4 linked regions of the Canis lupus familiaris genome follow. The protein of the gene in region 3 purifies or fractionates together with the protein of the main gene of each other region. This does not show direct contact. Links are inferred from orthologs where the notes say so. Each region holds a gene or a part of one and is shown on either strand. Other genes may lie near its edges.

Region 1 (3,500 bases), on a different chromosome or scaffold from region 3:
TTTCAATTAAATGTCAAGACACATTACAGGATTTAAACTAGACTGCTTTGCCTTAAGTATTTAACACAACATATTTATAATATCTTTGATCTACAAAGTACTCAATAAATATTGACTAATTAATCCCCTTGCCTACAACCAAGCCTGTATTTAAATGCTGATATCTGGTTTCTAGTCAACAACTGAAGAACTAAACCATTAACACCTTGACCAAGGTCATTATTCTGAGGCAAAAGTAAGCATTTTATGAGAATTAAGTAATTTTTTTTTTCATTTTTTTTTTAAATTGTGATCATGTACTATTAAATTCATAAGCCTCTTGCCAGGATAATTCTCTTCCCTGTTCAGGCTAAAAGTTTAACTCAAAATGGCAGGGAGGTTCTTAGGAAGTCAAAAGGATGAACGAAGCTTATAGGACCAGAGGTTAAAAGTCACAACACAAATTATAGGATATCAAAAAACCAACCATGATTCAAAGAAAAAAAAAAGAGTACTCATGCCTCTTCTACTGCAAAACAACATGGAAAAGAAGTCCCCCCAAATACAATTATTCACTGTTATTTCTTCTGATGGCACGTTATTACAGAAACCAGTTCCCCAGCCCCCAAGAACTATACAGGATGAAGTACAGTCCGTCCTGTGTTTTACTCCGTCCTGTGTTTTACTCCGTCCTGTGTTTTACAGTGCATGCGTTCATCAATGGAGGCTAGCTGAGCACCACGTGGGTCCTGAAAACATCTCCACAGCGCGCAGGTAGCAAGATTACCTTTCTAACATATGATGCAGCATCCTCCTCCGTGTAGACTTCGGCACTGATAGCACCTCGTCGCCTCCGGCCCTTAACCACTGGGTTGGGTGGAGGAGGAGAGATTTCATCCTCCCTCGAATCTGCACGGGAGCTTGCTTTCTGCAGATTCTGAATCTGTTTTGCCTCCTCCTGAAAAAAATTACCAGTTTATAAAATGAGATCCTTCAGAGGTAGATTTGGTATTCTCCTATCCCAGTGAGAACCAATCTCCACTTCAAATCTCTTCCTCTATTACCAATGTGAAGGGGGGAAAGGCCAATTCCAAATGCAAAAAAGTAGAGTCAAGTCTGAAAAGAAATACTCTGAAAGCACTCTGTTTCCTCAACTGATTATAGATACTATACTTAGTAATAAACAAAAGCCATTAATACAAAGAGACATACGATGCAGATAAAAAATTACTCATTACCGTAATATATTGACAACAATGCTTTGTAATGCACACAACTAATAAAACTGCAAAACAAAATCCTGGAGAATTAGAGTTTTTGTATACTGCTACAGATAGCATGAAGCACGAAGACCCCCTCCAACACACATAGATACACACATCAAAAGAATGTTACCTAGAAATAACCACTCAGGCACAGCAAAGTGATACAAGAATGGTATCTGGTCACTGATTTAATTAATTAATTAAGTGTTCTCTCTAGATCTGCCATGTCAAGTTCATGCTAGGAAAAGACAGTATCAAAACCAATAGGAGTGTCCTAAGCCTGTGGAATTCATATTCTTAGAGCTGGAGACTCAGATAGAAACAAATAACAAAAAATGATGTGATGGTAACCAAGAATTTAAATAAAATCAGATCTAACAATACTTTTACCAACAGAGCTTAGAAGCCTTCTTTATTATCAGGGTTTACACCAAGATTAAAACCAAGAACATTTACCGGTTTTTAAAAACTCATTAAATCAATTCATATAAAAATGGAGACAAACTCTTTAACACTCTTATTTTTCAGATCCAGGGCTTAAGAAGAATTAGCTCTGCAGTAAAGAATGAGTTACTAAGCCTGACATAAAATAAGAATGTGTTCTCTACTATGTTCTCATTCATCTGACTCATTTCCAGTATTTTTCTAAACCGTCTTTCAAATTCTAAATGAACTTATTAGCATTTACTGATAATTTCAGAAAAATTTTTGATAAACAAGAAATTTTTAGTTTCTTTTAAATTAAAAGAAAGGTGCCTGGGTGCTCAGTTAAGTGTCAGACTCCTGGTTTTGGCTCAGGTCATGATCTCAAGGTTGTGAGGTTGAGTCTCGGCTCCCTGCTCAGCAGGGAGTTTGCTTCCCCTCTCCCTCTTCCTCTGCCTCTGCCCCTCCCCTTGGCTCTCTGGCACTGTCATGCGTGCATGCGCACGTGCTCTCTCTTTCTCAAATAGATAATCTTAACAAAAAATTAACAATAATAAAAGAAATTAAGGGGATCCCTGGGTGGCGCAGCGGTTTGGCGCCTGCCTTTGGCCCAAGGTGCGATCCTGGAGACCCGGGATTGAATCCCACGTCGGGCTCCCAGTGCATGGAGCCTGCTTCTCCCTCTGCCTGTGTCTCTGCGCCTCTCTCTCTCTCTGTGACTATCATAAATAAATAAAAATTTTAAAAAAAATAAAAATAAAAAAATAAAAGAAATTAAGGAGATACCTGCTCTTTCTACTGCCTCGTATTTAGCCCTGCTTTTGGCATCAAGACAAATAAAAGAACTTATATATGCAGCAACGAAGTCTAGAATGATAACCATCAGCATTCATTTCTATTAGTAGAATCATGCTTGATAGCCTTTTCCAGAGGGAAAGTTTGGCTTTATTTTTCTCATTTCTCTGGACTGTCTAACTTTCAAGTAAGAAAAACATATAACAAAAACAATTTTAATATATTTGTCTACTGAATTACAAATGGATTTACTTCTTAACCAAATAATCCAATAATCCTACTTCAGGGAATTTATTCTAAGATATGTATATATGGGATAGAACATACAAAATCTTGTAATATATACAAAATTATTGTTTAGAACAGTAATAAAACAGTGGAAACAAATAAAATGGCCCTCGACGGAATGATTAAACTATCTATTGTATCTAGCCATACAGTACAATACCATGCACCTGTTGGAAAATAAGAAGCTCTTTTATAAATGAATTTGTAGGTAAATACCTATATCTTATCTATGGAAAACTCACTGCATTCAAGGAAGACAACAGCGTGGGAAGGAGATTTTTTAAAATATCTTTATATACTATTATCATACATTCTTACATATATAAAATATATTTTATATATTATATGCTATATTGCCCCCATGTTTGTATAAAATGTACTGTATTTCATTGTATTTTATTATGTCACACCCTTTTGTGCCTGTAAAATTTTGAAACATATGCAAATATGCAACCAATTTTTTAAAAATATATTTTCCAGAAAACTCACTTCATTTTCATTCTAGTAATTCCAATGACCAGTAAGCTTTTCCCATTTCATACTAATACAGAACTGTAAAACTCAAGTTTCCCCAAATTTAGTTTAAGACCATAAATAAAAACATTCTACCCCCAAAAATCTGTAATTGACCTTTCATAAAAATTTCATGAAAAATTACACAAATAACATCTCACTTGAAACTGTATCTAAATGAATTTTTAAGATAATTTTTAAGTACCGAAAGCATTTTGATTTTTAACTTCGTTTCAT
Region 2 (3,500 bases), on a different chromosome or scaffold from region 3:
CATGTTGTAACTGAAGTCATCAAATAGTATATAAGTGAACTTGGTGAAGTATCAGCTACAAGTATCTTCCCACGTCTTTGATGTCCTTTGGAATTGCTTTTCTGATTTGACACCTTTGGCATTCAACATCTACATCTCTCCTGTCATCTCAATCCACTTAATGCCCAAATTCCATGCAGTTCACCAGATCCTATGGCTTCTATCTTAATCCCTACCCAACCCCACCTTTCCAATCCTCTGCTACTGCCTTATTCTAGGCCCTCAGTATCTCTCACCTGGATTATTCCAACAGTTTCCTAACCAAAGATATACTCTCAGTTTCCCTAAGCTGTCCTTCACAAAGTGGCTGAATGATCATCTGAAAATGTAAATTTGATTGTTAGGATCCAGAATAAACAGAACTCACAACAGTTGCCCACTACCCTAACAATTTAGTCTAGTCTCCTTGGCAGGGCCTATAGCGTCTCCAGGATCTGACCCCCTCTCTAGTCTCACCACTTCCTATGTCCTACTTCTCTGTCACATTTTATGCTCCAGCCATGCAAAACAAATTCCAGGTCTCCCAACTCACCATGTTATTTCATGCTTGCCTAACTTTGCTTATATTAATTCTGCTCTCTGCCCAGATGCTCTTCCTAACTAACTACCTTGCCTCCCCACTCCAGGAGCCAACACTCAAGAGTGAGATCAAGGGTCAACTCTCTCAGGAGACCTTTCCTCACACCCTCCACTCCCCTCAAGTATATTTAACTACTCCAACCTTTATGCACCTCTTGTCCTCTAGAGTGTTGGTTATCACACACCTAACATTCAACACAATGACACTAATGAGATACTGCCTTACGTAGGAAATAATTTTGCCTTTAAAAATCAAAAATAGAGTTACAACAATTATTCAAAGGCTTCTATTCCAATAAGTCTGCCATGAAATAATGATACCAAAAGCAGATTTAAATGATTTCTGAGTTTTCCTTTAGTTTAACCTTTCCATGTTTCTCTTTCTTTTTGTTAGTTGCATAATTGGAGAACTGACAGTATTTTCTGTATCTCATATGACCCAGCAATTACAATTAGCTTGTGAGATCCCCAAGAGCAGAAATTCTTTCTTCCTCTCTTTATTTCTTACTCATCAGAGCTCAATACAGCACATGATAAGTATCAGCTCAACTTCCTTTTACTTACTTGGGTAAGACATGATGGTCAACAAGGATAAGGGTGAGTTGGCCAGCCTGGTGCAAGGCGTGGAGGTCAATCTCATCCCGGAAAATCAAGAGGGACTCTGGAATGTGAATCTTCTGAAGGAAGAAGACATTGTCACCTCGTAGAGGTAGCTCAGAACGATTTATATTTAAAACTGGCACAAAGACTTCCTCAGCCTCTGTTGTCTGGATAAGGAAAGTGAAAAGAACACAGGCCAATGTTTTGGAATAAATAGGAAAAGTAACAAGATTATTGGGACCAAAGGAGATATGATCTTGGGTAAGTCGCTGCCTTTTTCAATGCCACAACTACCCAATTGGTAAAAAATAAAAGGACATCTCTTGCCCTCTCACCTTAGAATAACACCAAGGACAACAAGATAACTCATGGAAAAGACCTAGCTCTTTTCCATGAGCAGAGAAAGGATTATCCATCTTCAAGAGCTGACCTGGGCATGAGATCGCTGGTACCCAAGAAGAACTCAATAATAAACTGTTTGAATTGCTTTATGACTTCAATTCTTCAAAATAGGGATGCCTGGGTTGCTCAGCGGTAGAACGTCTGCCTTTGGCCCAGGGCGTGATCCTGGACCCAGGATGGAGTCACACATCGGGCTCCCTACATGGAGCCTGCTTCTCCCTCTGCCTATGTCTCTGCTTCTCTCTGTGTCTCTCATGAATAAATAAATAACATATATTTTTAAAAATTCTTCAAAATACTTCTACTCATTTCATCCCCCCAGCAACATTGCAAAATAGTATCATTTCTGATTCTATAGATGGTGACCTGACACTCAGCAAAGTTAAGGAATTTAACTGACCCAAGACTAAATAGTGTCAAGTAGCAGAGCTGGGTCTTGGACCCAGATCTTTTCATTCTAGGGACTCTGCTGCTAAGTACTCACCTTTGCTAGGTAAAAAGCCAAGGCAAGCGCTGACACCATGGAGTCCAAGTCACAGGCTTCATTTCCCAGCACAACATGCAGCGGCCGGGACTCCTGGTGAAGGAGAATGGGACACTAGCAAAGGCATCTTTATCTATTTCCGTTTACCTTATACTTGAACAGGGCTTCACACACGTTCTCACTGATCTTCACAGGGGAGGCAGGTCACATAATTTTATGGGTACTCATTTCACAGGTGAGGATATTAGCTGAAAGGCCCCCTGTGTTCAGCTAAGTTTAAGCATTCCACACATATCCAGTAAGTAGAAAGTACCTGTCTCCTTGATTGTTAACTTAAAATAAAACAGCAGCAGGGGTGCCTACGTGGCCCAGGGCACCTGTCTTCGGCTCAAGTCATGATCTCAGGGTCCTGGGATCAGCCCTGTGTTGGGTTCCCCACTCAACAGGAAGCCTGCTTCTCTCCCTACCTCTCACCTCTCCTCCCCTATACTCATTCTCTCTCTCTCAAATAAATAAATAAAATCTTTATTAAAAAAAAAAAGAAATGCAGTAAATAATTCTCTCACTTCTTATGCTTTTTTGGGCACACAAGAAATCAAAGATAGAGCAGCTGGGTAGCTGACATATTCAAACCAGATCAACCTGTTTCTTGGGGTTATTTGCTCCCCTGTTTTCAAAATAGGGAAAAGCATCCTTATACTTCTAAATCATGAGAGGTGAAGAGCTCTTGAAAATAAAGGTAAAGGGGCACCTGGTGGCTCAGCAGTTGAGCATCTGCCTTCGCTTCAGGTCGTGATCCCAGGATCCTGGGATCAAGTCCCACGTTGGGCTCCTCACAGGGAGCCCGCTTCTCCCTCTGCTAGGTCTCTGCCTCTCTCTGTGTGTCTCTGAGTAAATAAATAATCTTAAAAAAAAAAAAAAGGGTGTGTGTGGGGGGGGACACCTGGGTGGCTCAGCAGTTGAGCATCTGCCTTTGGCTCAGGGCATGATCCCATGGTCCCAGGATCAAGTCCCACATCAGGCTCCCTGCATGGAGCCTCCTTCTCCCTCTGCCTATGTCTCTGCCTGCCTCTCTCTGTATGTCTCTCATGAATAAATAAAATCTTAAAAAAAAAAAAAGGTAAAAATAAAATTTAGTCCATGATCCAGTTATCCAGTCCATGAAAACTCCTCCAGCCCAGAGGAGCCTCAATAATAACCAAATATAACCAACTCTTACTACCCAGGCTTGGACACTCTCCCCAGCAGGTTCAGATTAAAACAAGAACAGTTGCTGCTGCTGGAACTTTTATTTTTATAGCTTAGTTTTATAATTCATTATTATTTTTAAAGTAATCTCTACATCAAATGTGGGGCTCGAATTCACGAGCCTGAGATCAAAAATTGCATGCTCCAC
Region 3 (3,500 bases):
TGATGCCAAGATTCCACAGTTACAAGTGTTGCATGTCACTGTATACATAGCCTTTTAGAGGCCACTTTAAAAAGCAACCTAGCAGATAGTTCTATGTGCAGATAATAAAGATACTTATAGTACAAAGAAAGACCCCAAACCAAACATTTATGAAAATGGATACTTGTAGAATTTCCAGTAGTGGCTTCATATAGATTCAAAAGGTGCTTCATATCAAAAAATTTAAAAATAGCTCTACTGATGAGAAAGAAACAGGTGTAAAAGATGCATATAAAAAGTATTAATAAAATTGTTTTATGAAATTTGAGGTTAAAAAGTTCCTGAATATTAATTTTATATAATGCATAATTTTATTTATTTTTTCATTATTTTAAATACATTTGAGTTAACCCAAGAAACCCTTTTGGGATCTTTTTTTTTTTTTTTCTTTTTCTTTTGGTATCTTCTTAATGGGAGAGTAGAGTATCACTTTATATTCATGGATTATCATAGTATATATTAAAGACTGAAAAGAGCTAGACTATAAAATATTACAGTGATTAATTCAAAAGCTAAAAGTGATCATTTGGGGATTGTGATTTTAATGTTCTCTATACTTCTTTTGCATCTTCAACATTTTCTTTAATATATATAGTGCTACTCTTAAGACAAAACAGTAAAAACTGAAAATAAAAAAAATTTTTTAATGACAGAGTCACAGAATCTGCTCTAGAAGAGTCTAACGTATTACCAAATTGGAGTAATCTTATCTATAACATTTGACATCATCCAGCTTTTTCCTAATACAGAGACTGGTATTTGGGGATGGTGGTAGGATGGAGTGGGGAACAACAAACAACAAAAACAAAACCACACACACAAAAAACAACAAATAAAAAGCACAACAAAGAAACCTGTTCCACTGTTAAATAAGTGAAAACTTTACTGATTCATCAATAATTTTATTTAGTCTCTATCTATGCCAGGGGCTGATATCATAAACTCAAATATGTACTATTCTCTAATTTTTTTGCTACTACTATTTTCAATTTTATAATCAGGAGAAAGAATACAGGTCTACATCTTTCTTCAGAAGATAATCTATGAGGTATTTTTACATCATTCTCAAAAGTTCCTTAAGTCTTCACTTTTCCAGGAAGTGGAATTCTGTTCCTTTACATACCCCACCTGCTATTTGATAACATCTTAAAATGGTATAGCTGGGACCTAAAACAACACTCCAGTGATTTCTGATCAGCCCTAAACAGTCAGAATTAATCCCAGGATATCTGAACATTTTTTCCTTTATGAATGTAGTTTCAGACTGTATCAGCACTACTAGTAGTTACACATTATTGACTGCTTAAGATTATAGTCAATGGAATCATCCAAGTCTATTTTGCCAGTAACTGAGGTCTTCCACATCTACTGCTTAAGCAATACATTTTCCCACTTTCAAATTTAGAAAAGTTTAAATATGGGGGGGGGGGGGAATTCATCTTAGAATAAAGGAAATATAATTATTTCCTGGTCACAGAGAGCTTTCCATCTCCCTTCTATATTTTAAGCTTGACTAAGCTGACCAATCAATCAATTGACCACTTCTTGCTTGTTTTATCTATAGGAAATTGTACACTTTTAATGTGCAGTTTATGAAGAAAATCACAGCATCGAAGGCAGTGTAGTTGATTAAATGAATTACTTAGGGTCTTAATCTGAAAGGAAAGAAAAGTGAACACAGAAGTAATTAAGAAACAATGATTCTTCCTGGGTCTTTTAGAAAGCACCAGTACACAAACTCTGTTTTTTCCTCTCAGTATTTTCTCAGAAGCAGCCATGGTGCCAAGCTCCACAAGGGAAGAGAATTTCTCTATCTACATCTCTTATACAAGTTCTAAGAAAGACAGTTATATAGAATTCCATTGTTTCCTTCTGTTTATAAGTAAGATATCTGACTTTATACAAATACAGTCACCACCAATTTCACCAATTGATTTCCAGGTTTAAAAAACTTAATATAAACACTTGGAAAAAAATAAACACTTGGGAAGTAAGAAATGCTAAAATTCTAGTCTCAAATACAAACTTGAGGGTTAACTTAATAGTGAAATCTCTATAACTTCTCATGTGCCAAGATTTATTATAATCTGCCAAAAATGAGAGAAGCTATGTCTACTGGAAAAAATTTTATCTGCCACTATTTTGTTTAAAACCATACAAGTAGTAGCCTAATCAGTTGTTGGAAGGGATGTTTGCTACCTGTATAAGTACTTAATATGCCCACTTTCGTCCTACAGATTTTAATTAAAAGAATATAACCTCACACAGATAGGTAGCTTTCTCAGAAATGGTAAAAAACAGAACTAAGTATCTGGAATTACCTTGAGTGGTGAAGTTGAAGAGTGCAGGTGTGTCTCGCCCATTTGGTAGTTTGACATTTGGGTCCCTTAATTCATCAAAAAATGAATGTGCACAAGCTTCCAGTGGTGTCAATCGGGCAGTTGGTGTATACTCCAGCAGACGGCTACACAGTGCAATTGCCTCCGGTGGAGTCCGGGGTCGGAAGACCTGCAGTACAAAAAAAGGTAAAGAACAATTAATGCTTTATTGTAAGAATCTTAGCAAATTATCCTTTGAGTACTGAGTTAATTCCCACCACGTACAACAACATGGTTGCATTTGTGAGAGGAACCTTCTAGAATGAAAAGAGTTAACTGCATATGATTCACTACATTGAGGTGAACAGCTAATTACAAACTATATGAGGAAAACTCAGAGAAAAAACTAGGGGAAATTAAAAAAAATCTACACTTGCTAATCATAAAGCAGTACAATGAAATATGTACACAAAATAGGATATCATAGGCACAAAGAAAGGCTGGGTTCTGGAGGCAAGCACCAACTAGAAGAATATTAAAATTTTCTAAAAGTTTTGACTACTGTGGCAGTAGAATAAAAGATTGCCTCTTGTGTGTGATTTTTAGCAGAACAACTGTCAGTAATGGACAGCACTACTCAAATTTGGCAATCAATATTTTTTTGGGGAAAAAAGCTATTTACTTTAGCTTTAGCAATGCTAATGATCTGCTATTATCTCTTCAATAAACAGTCTTATTTGAAGAAATTCTTGAATACCCAGAATTTGACAAAATGTCCAAAACTGTTTTCTCAAAGAGTAGCTGTTATTACAAATATGGTCAGATTACCCTCATTTGGATGAATATTCTAGGGTTTTAATTAGGGAGAGAGAAATGTACTTTTCATTAAGAGCCATTAACTCTAGAAAAAGTCAACTGAAGGCTGTGCTGAAGCAAAATTCAAATAAATTAGTTTGCTTAAAAGAATAGAAAGCTTTCTACACATCTTTACCTTAAAACTCCAAATCAATACACAGAACTATGAAAATAGCTTTGCTCTAAATTATAGACAGTTGAAGAATAGAATCAGAAAGGGGAAAAACAAATAAACATAAACAGATGGACAGAAAGCCTTTGAAACTAAAGAAAAATGAAACATATTCC
Region 4 (3,500 bases), on a different chromosome or scaffold from region 3:
TTTTTAAAGGTGCATTGTTTAAAACTAGTTAAAAAAAATCCGAAAACCAAAAAGTACAGACAAGAAAGTATTTGTTCCATATGTTAACAAACTGAAACTCCATGAACATTTTACAACCTAAACGGATGAATGGTCATCAAACCTAGGAGTAGGACCTGTGGGTGAGCAGCTTTCACCACAGCTCCATGAGGCCACTGAAGAGTACCTGCAAGCCCCTGCCTGTTGTGCAGTGTGTCTACAGGAGGCACCACCGTACATTTCACGTCCTTAAGCTACAGTCCTTAAAAACATGTGGCCTTCAGGAGCTGCTGCAGGAAGACCAGGTCCCACATCACTGGGGCTGCTCCAGAGGACGACCCCCTTGCATGCCTTCCTTCACGACTCTGCCACATTACATCACTGCGCTGCTTCACAGCGCAGGCAGAAGCAAACACATGACTGGGAACAAGTCCCCCATAAGTCCCCATGGCCCAGGTCCTCCCACAGGAGCCAGCTTCGAATGCTGGAGCTTCACAGGGTTTGTCATGGGTGAGGGTCATTCACAGTGCAGTGCCTGGCCCCCAAGGGTACTTACTTACTCATGGGGTCAGGACCAGCCCCAAGGGGACGCCCGTGAAAGCCACAAGCAGCTCTCACCCACCTGTTGAGAAAGGGATCCGAGCCACTGGTCGTCATCGTCCTCAGTTCCTGAGACATCCCGGGGGAAGGCACTGGATTGGGAGTCCCGCCATCCTGCTCCAGTGTTGGTAACTGGCTACGAAGAGCTAGTTCCTAGAAAAAACAAACAGCAACATGGTCAGTCTACTGCTAACAAACTCTTCATTCAATTTAAAGAAATAAAATGCACATGACCGTGCCAGGTACAGAGTTCAGGTGTTAAACTCTGGTCAAAACTAATAGGTTACCCGGTCAGAAACACCAAGTTCTTTTGCACTTAAGTCACATAAATTCAAAGTCTATCTTGTCTTACAAACCCCTGAACAGATACACAGGATTCCCTAAATTCATTTTGTTATTTCTCTTACTTTGGCAGACCCTCCCAAACCTGTCCTATGGGAAAGGATGGGAAGTGTGGTCTTTCAAAAAAGAATGCCTCTTATAGTTTCTCTCTACTCACCAACCCTCAGCTGATTTTTTGTTCGGCACCAAGGAGTCAAGGCAAAGTCGGAAAAACCACACCAGGTGATAAGCGATAACCACACCAGTGCCCCTGGCTGTCCGGTGTCTGCACCTGACCTCACACTCCTCCATCCCCAGCTGTGCTCAGAGCCATCCAACGTATCCTCAGCAGGACTCTACCTGGATTGCTCAGCAAAGACCATGGGTCACTACCACCCAAATGGCTCTAAAGGGCCTGTCCCAATGGCCCAGACCTCAGTCTCAAATGTGTCCAGGACCTGGAAGCTACATCACCTCATCCGGCCATCCTGACATTGTCCTCGCTCACCTTTCTCATCCACCCAGGCACCCCAACAGCTCCTGCCGTGCCTCTCACACTCCCATTAACCTCTTGTTTGTGGGAGCACAGGCTCCCTTCTCCCTTGGCTTTTCTGATTTGACTAGAAATGTGGCTTTTTATTGCTAAGGACACTGCCTGGCTGTTCAGGAAGGCACACCTGAGGCACCCCGACTCCTAAACCATCAATTCCGCCTCGTGCAGAAAACACTGCTTTTCACTCAGCTTTAGGCCTGCTGAATACACCGTCCTTTACACTGGGGTTTCTTAACTGGAGGATCATGACAGAATGCAGAGGGTCTATGAATTTGGGTGAAGAAAATTCACTTTTATTTTTACTAACTTGTAACTGAAATTCAGCATTCTCTTCAAACACAGATGACAACACTTGTATTTGTCATCCTCTTACTTTGCATCCATGGACAGCGTTTTCATATCCTACTGTAGTTGCAAATTATCTTAAAATACCATTTATGCTCATTACCATTTCAATAGTACAAAAGTTGTAAGACATGCTGTTAGAGCTTGTTATTTACAGATTAATTACTAGGTCACATGGCAGCTCCTCGACCACCTGGATCTCAAGGACCTTCACCTCCACCTATCCGAATCACCCGCTTGCTTGGCTGAGACCATGGGACTTAAGTCTGCAGGCCTGCCTGGGATGAAGACCGGCGTGTCACCTCCCTGAACCGTGTGCACCACAATCACTATCAGTGCATCAAGCTTATGGAACAATCTACCCCTGAGGGTCCTGCATCTCCGGCAACTCTGGAATGGGTGTAGCGATTTCACCCCCAAGAACTCTTGCACACACTCACCCTGCTTTCTCCTCCCACCCAGCTCCTGCATGACCTCAATCCCACTCCATCTGCCCTCCAGCCTCAGGGACTCTACTTCATCTCTTACGATTCCAGTCGACTGGCTCTCTTTTTTTCCCATTAAAAAAATAAAATAGTGGTTTAAGTGACATACAACATTGCATCAGTTTTAAGTATACAATGCAAGGATTTGGTATTAGTACACGCTGTGAAATGACCATAGCAATCCTCTGTCTAGCTACCATCCATCACAACACAGAGTTACAAAAAGTCTTTTCTTCGAATGAAGATTTTTAACATTTATTCTCTTAACAACTTTTAAATATGTACTTATTATGCAGTATTATTAACTATAGCTAATAATTATAATCATTAACTATAGTCACCATGCTGTATAAAGTATGAACCTTTTGACCCCCTGGCAACCACCAATCTGTTCATTTTCTGTAAATTTGGTTGTTTTTTTTCCTTCAATTCCACTTATGAAGTAAGATCACATAGTATTTGCCTTTCTCTGACTTATCTCACTGGGCATAATGCCCTATATGTTCATCCATGTTGTCACAAATGGCAAGATATACACATCTTTATCGACTCAATTGTTGATGGACGCTTAAGTTGGTTAAGTGATTGACAGCTGAATGGACACTGAGGTTTGCTCCACAACTTTGTTATTGTACAAAATGCTGCAGTGAACAGAGGGGTGCATGTATCTTTTTGAATTAGTGGTTTTTGTTGTTGTTGTTGTTGTTTTCAGAGAAATACCCAGAGGTGGAATTGGAAGATAGATTATAGGGTATTTTTATATTTAGCTTTCTGAGGAACCTCCATACTATTCTCCAGAGTGGCTGCACCAGTTTGCATTCCCACCAACAGTGCATGAAGGTTCCTCTTTCTTCAAATTCTCGCTGACCCCTGCTGTTTCCTGTGTTGTTGATTTGGGCCATTCTGACAGGTGGTATCTCATCATGGGTTTCTTTTATAGGATTTTATTTATTTGAGAGAGATTGAGTATGAGGAGGAAAATGGAAAGGCAGAGGAAGAAGCAGACTCTCTGCGCAGGGAGCCTGGACACCAGGCTCCATCCCAGGACCCCAAGATCATGACCTGAGCCACCCAGGTGCCCTGGTTATGGTTTTGATTTCTGTTTCCTTCATGGGCCAATTCCTGGTTCTTTTTCTCCTTCCCCATGAGCTTGAATTCTGAGCCAATCATGTAAAATA

Evidence for each region.
Region 1: the proteins of GSK3B (region 3) and PRKAR1A purify together in Homo sapiens (affinity purification with mass spectrometry; 3 studies listed by BioGRID and IntAct, with this or other methods). This does not show direct contact. The link is inferred for Canis lupus familiaris from reciprocal best matches to the Homo sapiens genes GSK3B and PRKAR1A.
Region 2: the proteins of GSK3B (region 3) and PRUNE1 purify together in Homo sapiens (affinity purification with mass spectrometry; 5 studies listed by BioGRID and IntAct, with this or other methods). This does not show direct contact. The link is inferred for Canis lupus familiaris from reciprocal best matches to the Homo sapiens genes GSK3B and PRUNE1.
Region 4: the proteins of GSK3B (region 3) and YAP1 purify together in Homo sapiens (affinity purification with western blotting; 3 studies listed by BioGRID and IntAct, with this or other methods). This does not show direct contact. The link is inferred for Canis lupus familiaris from reciprocal best matches to the Homo sapiens genes GSK3B and YAP1.

Annotation. Positions count from the first base shown.
Region 1 is NC_049230.1:11,735,377-11,738,876, forward strand, and holds part of PRKAR1A (cAMP-dependent protein kinase type I-alpha regulatory subunit), read right to left. Parts: intron 938-3,500; coding exon 767-937; intron 1-766. UniProt on the Homo sapiens protein: Regulatory subunit of the cAMP-dependent protein kinases involved in cAMP signaling in cells.
Region 2 is NC_049238.1:60,769,075-60,772,574, reverse strand, and holds part of PRUNE1 (exopolyphosphatase PRUNE1), read right to left. Parts: intron 2,198-3,500; coding exon 2,105-2,197; intron 1,386-2,104; coding exon 1,183-1,385; intron 1-1,182. UniProt on the Homo sapiens protein: Phosphodiesterase (PDE) that has higher activity toward cAMP than cGMP, as substrate. Plays a role in cell proliferation, migration and differentiation, and acts as a negative regulator of NME1. Plays a role in the regulation of neurogenesis.
Region 3 is NC_049254.1:24,131,286-24,134,785, forward strand, and holds part of GSK3B (glycogen synthase kinase-3 beta), read right to left. Parts: intron 2,548-3,500; coding exon 2,361-2,547; intron 1-2,360. UniProt on the Homo sapiens protein: Constitutively active protein kinase that acts as a negative regulator in the hormonal control of glucose homeostasis, Wnt signaling and regulation of transcription factors and microtubules, by phosphorylating and inactivating glycogen synthase (GYS1 or GYS2), EIF2B, CTNNB1/beta-catenin, APC, AXIN1, DPYSL2/CRMP2, JUN, NFATC1/NFATC, MAPT/TAU and MACF1.
Region 4 is NC_049226.1:29,541,054-29,544,553, forward strand, and holds part of YAP1 (transcriptional coactivator YAP1), read right to left. Parts: intron 772-3,500; coding exon 641-771; intron 1-640. UniProt on the Homo sapiens protein: Transcriptional regulator with dual roles as a coactivator and corepressor. Critical downstream regulatory target in the Hippo signaling pathway, crucial for organ size control and tumor suppression by restricting proliferation and promoting apoptosis.